Callithrix jacchus: one gene and its partner. The protein of the gene in region 1 interacts with the protein of each later gene in a biochemical or structural test. Links are inferred from orthologs where the notes say so. Each region holds a gene or a part of one and is shown in the gene's direction. Other genes may lie near its edges.

Region 1 (4,205 bases):
GCATAGTGGCAGCTGCCTGTAATCCCAGCTACTCAGGAGGCTGAGGCAGGCGAATCACTTGAACCTGGAAGATGGAGGTTACAGTGAGCCTCGATCCTGCAGCTGCACTCCAGCCTGGGCAACAGAGAGAGACTCTTTCTCAAAAAAAAAAAAAAAAAGGCAACGACAACAAAACATAAAAATCCCAGAACCCCTCTGTGGTCTTGCCACCTCCCCCTGGCCCAGAGGTGACCTGACTGTGGGATTTCAAGGGATTCAACATACAATGCCTGCCCTGACACACACACCCTGTGCAGATGTATATTGGCTGGGTGGGGATGAGGGGCATACCTGATCTTGAAAATGCAAACTTCGGAGTGGTTTTATTTCTTGTTTTGGGGGTGGGTGGCCTCACAAGGGTACTTCCCCCTTCCATCCTAGCACTGAGGGTAGTCACGTCCTCACTGGGAGTGGTGGCTGGAGGTCCGGGGCATGACCCCTGACCTAGGGAGGATGAACCAGAAGTTGAGACCTGGAACACAGCACAGGAGCTGAGCAAAATGTGGAGAAAAGGAAAGGTCAGGGTTCCCACCTTGGCCACCCTTCTCAGGTGGGGCTAGGATCTTCCCTTCCCCTTCACATGAATTGGCCCACCCAGCCCCCCATCTTACAGGCCTTCCCTTTTGCCACCCCCATCCAATTTGCCTTGGGTCCGGGAGGCTGGGACTGCACGAGAAGGGGCGCTCCTGCCTTCCTGAACTTCAGCCTTTCCATCCCCCCGCACCTCCGCCCACCCAGCCAGAGGCCACCTCTAACCCCGGGAGACGAAATGAAATGCGAAAGCTGCTTACTAGCCACTGGTTTTCGGGTGCAGCCTTCAGACCCCCCCGTTCCAGGAGGCCTGGAAAACGGGCGGGGCTGGAAGGCATTTAGATAATTGGAAGATGCTCGGCTTAAACGAATGATAAATTCAGCCTCTCTGGTCTGGTCATCAAATAAACACCAATTAAATAATATGGTGCCATTGGCACCAAGTTAGCCAAACCATCAAGGGACGTGATACTTAACTCGCTTCTCTGGCCGCTGACACCCTCCTCGACCCCCAGCCTCGGAAAGCCATGTCTAGTCCCACCGTTTAGTGGGACTACTGGGGCTGCCGCGAAAATTGAATCTGTTGGGGTAACATCTAACCTGGAGTACCCCGAAAGCTCCCGTCGGTTCCGCTTGGGGGCCCCACTCCCCTCCCACCTCCTACGCTAGGCGCTCTGCCTGCGAATGACTTTTTGTTGCTGCTCAGCGCAGCCAGGCGCGGGGGCGGGGAGGCTGCCGGGTCGGAGGCCCAGGCATTGGGCGAATCCTGTCCCACGGCCTGCCAACCGCGAGACCTTGAAGGAGTTAATGAACTTCACACCTCAACGTCCAGGTCTGTAAAATGGGATACCTAACGCAGACAGCACAGCGCAGCTGGGTTTAGCAAATTTCCGGGAGCCGGTTTAGCAAACTCCCGGTCCCTAGCTGTGATCCCAGGTGACGATAAGCTGCAGGGGGTCCTGCGGAGGCCACCCTAGGGCGCTGCTGCCGACTTTGGAATGTGGAATTCCAAACCATGTCGCGAGAGGCGGATTTCAGGAGGCCAGGATCCTCGCCCCAGGGTGATGTGCGGGGGTGTGGGATAAACCCTAATTCCTCTGGCCCACCCAAAGCCTGGAAATCCAGCCTCCGCGCCTCCAGCCCCGCGGGCCCCGCCCTCGATCCCGCCCTCCTCTAACCCGCTACCCCATTGGTGGCGTCCAGCGGCGCGGCCGCTGTTATTTTTCGAATATATAAGGAGGTGGAAGTGGCAGCTGCAACTAGAGGCTTTCCAGGCTGGTGCCTGAGCCCTGCGTCCCTCACACCCCACCCTCCCCGCATCCCTCTTCTCCCTCGCGCCCGGTCCTGTGGCTCTCCCTCCCTTCCTCCCTCCCTCCCTCTCTCCCTCTCTCCCTTCCTTCCCCCCCGCCACCCCGCGCCCGCTGCTTCCCTCGGCCCAGCCAGCTGTCCCGGCGTCTGTTGGAGGCCCTGCGCTTGGCCCTCCAACCAGCCTTCTGCCGGCCCCGGGGCGATGGAGGTGCCCCAGCCCGAGCCCGCGCCAGGCTCGGCTCTCAGTCCAGCCGGCGTGCGCGGTGGCGCCCAGCGTCCTGGCCACCTCCCGGGCCTCCTGCTGGGACCTCAGGGGCTCCTAGGGTCCCCAGTGCGCGCGGCCGTTTCCTCGCCGGTCACCACCCTCACCCAGACCATGCACGACCTCGCCGGGCTCGGCAGGTAGGACACCCCAAGGAGGCTGGATATGGGAGTGAGAGGCCCGGACTGGAGTCCTGGGCCTCCTGGAGAACTGAGCATGGTATCCTAATCCAGGAGGTGGAGTCCGGGGGAGGCGTCCTGGGCAGTGGAGAGGTACGCTCTTGTCCCTTTATGGGGCCCAGGACATGGGAGGTGAGACCTGGGCTGTGCCTCCCACACCCTCCAGGTGACCTGCTCTTGGTCCGCACAAGCCTGCCCGAGTCTTCTTTCCCCTCACTCCCTCCTACCTCACTGTGCCTCCACCACGCTGCCTCCCTAATCTCTACCCAAATAGCCACCTGTTTTGCCTCAGGATGGGAATCCCAAGCCTGGAGGGGGGAACTTGAGTGTGGCAGAGCCATGGAGCACTCACACATCCATGCCCCTGCTCCCTCCACCCTAGTTCTGTGCTCAGAGTTAAGGCAATTACGTATACACTGATCGCGCTTCCTAAGTCTGCAAGGGGAGAGCTGGGTTGTCCCAGTAGGAGAACCTGGTCTTGTTCCATCCTTCAGGAAGGGTCCTGGAAAGGTGGGGGTCTGACAGTTTAGGGGAAGGCCCTCCGGGGCAGCTCTGCTAGACCACCAACCCCTAAGATCGCCTCCAGCCAGGCTGCCTTACTCACACCCTGGGCTCACCTGGTTTAGGAGGACATGTCCTAAACCAGTCAACAAAGAGAAGCTGCTTTGGGGCCTCTGTAGAATGAGCCTGCCTTGACCTGAGAAGAGGGCCGGCCCTTGGGGCCATCACTTTCCCGGTGTAGTGTTTCGCTCAGTTCTTTTCTCAGCGAGTGAGTGGGAACTCAGGCCAGCAAAGCCTTGAGCCCCACATTTACCTTTCTCCTTTCCTGGGTCCCTGTTCCCTTCCCAGCGAAACCCCAGAGAGTCAGGTAGGGAGCCTACTCTTCCGTAGCCGCGGCCGGCTGACATGCCTACCCCTGTCAAGACGGGCATCTGAATCCTCCCTGTCGTCTGAATCCTCCCTGTCGTCTGAATCCTCTGAATCTTCTGATGCAGGTGAGGCCCAGTGGGGGCTGGGGAGGTCTGCCAGTGCCAGGAGAGTTTTCGGGGGCTGCCTGGGCCTCCCGATTTCCCTGCCGATCAAACTAACATCCTCCCTACAACCTGGTGGGCCCAGGAGCCGCTCCCCGACCCTCCACAGAGATGGGAGGAAGGCGTGCCTCTGGTGGGGCTCACCACACCCAACGCAGACTGGCTGAGTGGGTGGGAGGGTGGGGCCCTCCATGGGAGATGAGATCTCACCTATGGAAAAAACCAGGCACCAAAGTTAACCACAGCCCTACCTGGGAAGCACTCAGGACTGAGAGTTGGTCTTTAGAACCTTCTTATTCTATAACCTCTTCTTTGAAAAGCTGCTGTCTCATAGTAAACCGGGAGTGGAACCCTGTACTATTTGGGGAATAATGTGTCAGCCCTCAGGGTCCATGGTTGGGTTTTTGTTTCATTTTCTAATGTGTCAAAGTCCAAACTAGACACGGGTTTTTTCTTCTTATTGAGACATAGTGGGGGAAAGTATACAGAAAGTGCCACAACCCTCAAACCAAGGTGCTCCATCCCCTCAGGTCTCTGCATGGACTCCCCCAGCCCTATGGACCCCCAGATGGCGGAGCAGACGTGAGTATTGAAGGGAATGACTACCACCAAGCAGTCAGCACCTGCCTTTGAGAATCCCAGTTCTAGCAGGAACTCACCAGGGAGGCCTGGGAAAGCAGACAGACCATGGGGTGCCTTCAGGATCTCCGTGGGCGGGGGGACTCGCTGACCTTCTCAGGCCTTGGGATTCTGCTCCCTGTCTCAGAGAAGGATCTGCTCTCATGGGAGCCAACCAAGAGTGGGCTCAGGGACAGGGATGGTGGGGACAGTGGCCACTGGGAGAATAGATGCTAG
Region 2 (3,646 bases), about 29 Mb from region 1:
GAGGCGGAACTGCAGGACATCTGCAATGACGTTCTGGTAAGAGGCCAGTGCTTCTGTTTCGAACAGTGGTTTCTAAATAGTATTAATGGATAAATGCAGATTCTCAAAACAGCTTATGAGAGAGAGGTGTCTGAATATACTGGAAAGCTGCCAGCCATTTACAACTAATTTTTAAGCATACAGTAATTTTTGTCACCTGTTGCCTGATCAGAGGTTCTGATACATCACTTCTGAGATATTTTCCTCTCCTGTCAAAAAGACCTGTGAAAAAACAGTAACATTTATTCAGCCTCCCTCCATCTTTTTAAATTGAGGCCAGATAGACAGGATTTTAATAGATACAGCCACAGATAGGCTATTGTATATATTAGTCCGAGTAGTGATGTCATCTCCAGTAGCGGAGGGAGATAAAAAGGCTGGGCTGTAAGTCCTGCTTTGGTCTGAAAGTTGGGCACATCCATCAAGTTGAGCCTGTATTCCAGAGCCAAATTCAAAGTGGTTTGGAGATTCTCTCCTGTGTTTTACCATACACCTTAGTCAGATGATTGATTCACTCTGGCCACCACTTGAGATTGAATGGGAGAGGTACATACTCTAAATCAAATCACAGTCGTATTGTCTTTCCCCCACATCCTGAGCCCATTGGGAACATTTTTCTTCCAATTGAAATCAGGTAAAAATGAAGAGTGAGGGCTGCTTTGAAAAGGGAAAAGGAATTCATACTTGGGGATCTACCTCCTCCCCTGCTGTCTGCCTTTCCAAATTATTGCCCATGACTCCTTTCTTTTGAAAACCAGTACAAAGCTTGTCAGCCATCAGGAAGCACCCCTCGTCCCTAACTCATTAGGAGTTACACACTGTCTCTCTACAAAGAATATTAAAAAATGACTACTGCCCCTTGCGTCTTCTCACTTTGGTTGATTAAATCCCTTTATAAGTAAGCTTTGCATTGAGCTTCTGTTTTTATTAGACTCATGGCATAAGAGTGTCATGGCTAAATTTGTTGCCTGTTGGTAATTTGGGGGTTTGTTAATGGTGCACTAATTCCTGAATGTTAGGTACATCTGGTATTCAGATGAAGTATGTCATGCATTCCAAGGGCAAGAAAGTCCATAATTCATGAAATGTAGACCAACTTTTAAGAGCATCTGAAAGAAGGTGAAGAAGAGCTTGGTACTTACTGCCTCTTAACCAGTTTTTCAGGATGCCACATTCTAAAACAACTCTTCGAAAATATTGCTCTGTATACGAAGCTTGGACTCCTTCAGAACTACTTTTGTTGTAAGCATACATGTTTAAAGGAATTTATTATTAATAGTATTAGCTACTCTTTGAGTGCTTACTACGTGCCAGGCAACGTGTTAAGCGCTTTATGTATGTCAACTTATGGCTATACCCTAGAAGATGATCCCTCGTATAGCTTAGGAAACTGAGGCTCAAGGTGATTAGGTAATTTGTCCAGAGTCATACAGATAAGTGACAGAAGAGGGATTTCTACCCAGGTCAGAATGATTCTAAACTTAGTTCTTGGCAGTTTTGCTCTGTTACCACCTTTTTACTCCCAGGGAAATACTTTTTCCCCCTCTAATTATAGAAGTAATACAAGTTTATGGGTTTAAAAAGGGTGGGGAGGACAAATCAGAGGAATATAAATAAGAAAGTAAAAATCACTTCTAATCTTACCCCCCAGAGAACCATTATTAACATCCTCCTTCCAGGCTTTTTCCTTAGGTATTTGTGAGCATGTACACATAGGTATCTTATTGTTAAAATAGGATTCTTGTGGTATTTATAATCTGTTTTTTTTCACTCAGATTTCTTTGGAGAGCTTTCCATTATCTGTGCAGTTCTGCATCATTTTAAAGGCCTACAAAGCATTTCATTGTATGGCTGTACTTTAATTATCCTCTATGGATGGTCAAAGTGATTTTTAACAGAAGCATACAGGCATCTGCTATTATGACCTGGGCTAAACAACATTTAGTAGCTTGGATGAAAAAAATTGATGTTTTTTTTATCTTCTAAAAAATTATTTAGAAGCAGTAGTGTATTTTGAATCTCAAACATAGTTTTTAAACATCCTGTGAATAATTCTAAATTCTCAACAATGTGAATCATTTTTTAGGAGCTGTTGGACAAATATCTTATTCCCAATGCTACACAACCAGAAAGTAAGGTGTTCTACTTGAAAATGAAAGGAGATTATTTTAGGTATCTTTCTGAAGTGGCATCTGGAGACAACAAACAAAGTAAGTAATACCTTTAAAAAGAAATTTGATCAGTAATGGAACCAGTCTGCTTTCACAGGAAATTTTAACAGTTTTTGCTTTGTCTGTTTGCCATAGACACCAACGCTGCAGTACTAAGAATTTAAAAGACCACAGCATTGTGATGAATGGGGGTGATGGGTGGGCAAATAAATATTTATCTGACAGGGAAATATGGAGGGCATTAAAAATCTGGTGCGTAGTATATTTAAAAAAATTTTTATCTTGAGGGTTATTTGTTAGCTCTCTTTTTAGTGGTGAAACTTTAAAATACTTGATGGTATGAAACTACCATAGTGATGCATTTCTTTTATCACACGTTTTACTATGATGGTGATAATCATAACCACACTTTATCAAGTGCCTATGTGCCAAGTACTTTTGAGTCTCACTTATTCTTCGTACAACCATACGAATTAAATGGCAGTCTGCCCATTTTTCTGATAAACTGAGCTTTATGGAGGTTTTTAGTTGCCCCTAGCCACAGACTTGGGAATAAGAGTTGGGAATTAAAGTTTGGATCTATTAACTCTAAATCTAAAGCCTGTGATCTTTGCACTAGAGCATATTGTTTTTCACATTCTATATTGTTAAAGGTTATATCTATATTTCTTAAATGCTTTCGTAGACTTTATCATAATTGTTTTTCCCCCAAGCATTTAATCTACAACTTGGTTTAGAATAAATATCTAACAAATGTAAAATTGACTGGCAGAGACACTGATACCTCATTTGATAGGTCATTGCTCTTGCCCAATTTGGGATTAAGAAAATAATTTGATAGTTGGTCCAGTGTGTGATATCTGTGAAAGAACCAAGCCTTAAATATTTGCATCTTTATCTTACAGCCACTGTGTCGAACTCCCAGCAGGCTTACCAGGAAGCATTTGAAATTAGTAAGAAAGAAATGCAGCCTACACACCCAATTCGACTTGGTCTGGCACTTAATTTCTCAGTCTTTTACTATGAGATTCTCAACTCTCCTGAAAAGGCCTGCAGCCTGGCAAAAACGGTGAGAAAGACCCTTTGTGATTTCTGACCATAGCAAAACAATGCTTGTGTTATTAACTTCTTTTAATTCCTGAACATACTCATTATCTTGGACTTTTTTGAAAACTTTTCTGGGGATGGGAGTGTATCTTTTATGAGATAAATACAGATCTGTTACTTTTTTAAATTCATTCTCAATACCTTCTGCTGACTTTTGTTTGATTACTATTTTTGGGGGAGGTGGTTGTAGAAAGTTCCAGGTGAATGTAGTTTGTTGTTTCTTTTTTTTTTTTTTGAGATGGAGTTTTGCTCTTGTTGTCCAGGCTAGAGTGCAGTGGTGCGTCTTGTCTTACTGCATCCTCTGCCTCCCGGGTTCAGGTGATTCTCCT

What was found.
Region 2: the proteins of CDC25B (region 1) and YWHAB form a complex in vitro, tested with the Homo sapiens proteins (2 studies listed by BioGRID). The link is inferred for Callithrix jacchus from reciprocal best matches to the Homo sapiens genes CDC25B and YWHAB.

Annotation. Positions count from the first base shown.
Region 1 is NC_133506.1:11,323,200-11,327,404, forward strand, and holds the start of CDC25B (M-phase inducer phosphatase 2), read left to right. Parts: upstream 1-1,283; 5' UTR 1,284-2,080; coding exon 2,081-2,280; intron 2,281-3,168; coding exon 3,169-3,314; intron 3,315-3,880; coding exon 3,881-3,932; intron 3,933-4,205. UniProt on the Homo sapiens protein: Tyrosine protein phosphatase which functions as a dosage-dependent inducer of mitotic progression. Directly dephosphorylates CDK1 and stimulates its kinase activity.
Region 2 is NC_133506.1:40,262,103-40,265,748, forward strand, and holds part of YWHAB (14-3-3 protein beta/alpha), read left to right. Parts: coding exon 1-36; intron 37-2,125; coding exon 2,126-2,249; intron 2,250-3,115; coding exon 3,116-3,279; intron 3,280-3,646. UniProt on the Homo sapiens protein: Adapter protein implicated in the regulation of a large spectrum of both general and specialized signaling pathways. Binds to a large number of partners, usually by recognition of a phosphoserine or phosphothreonine motif.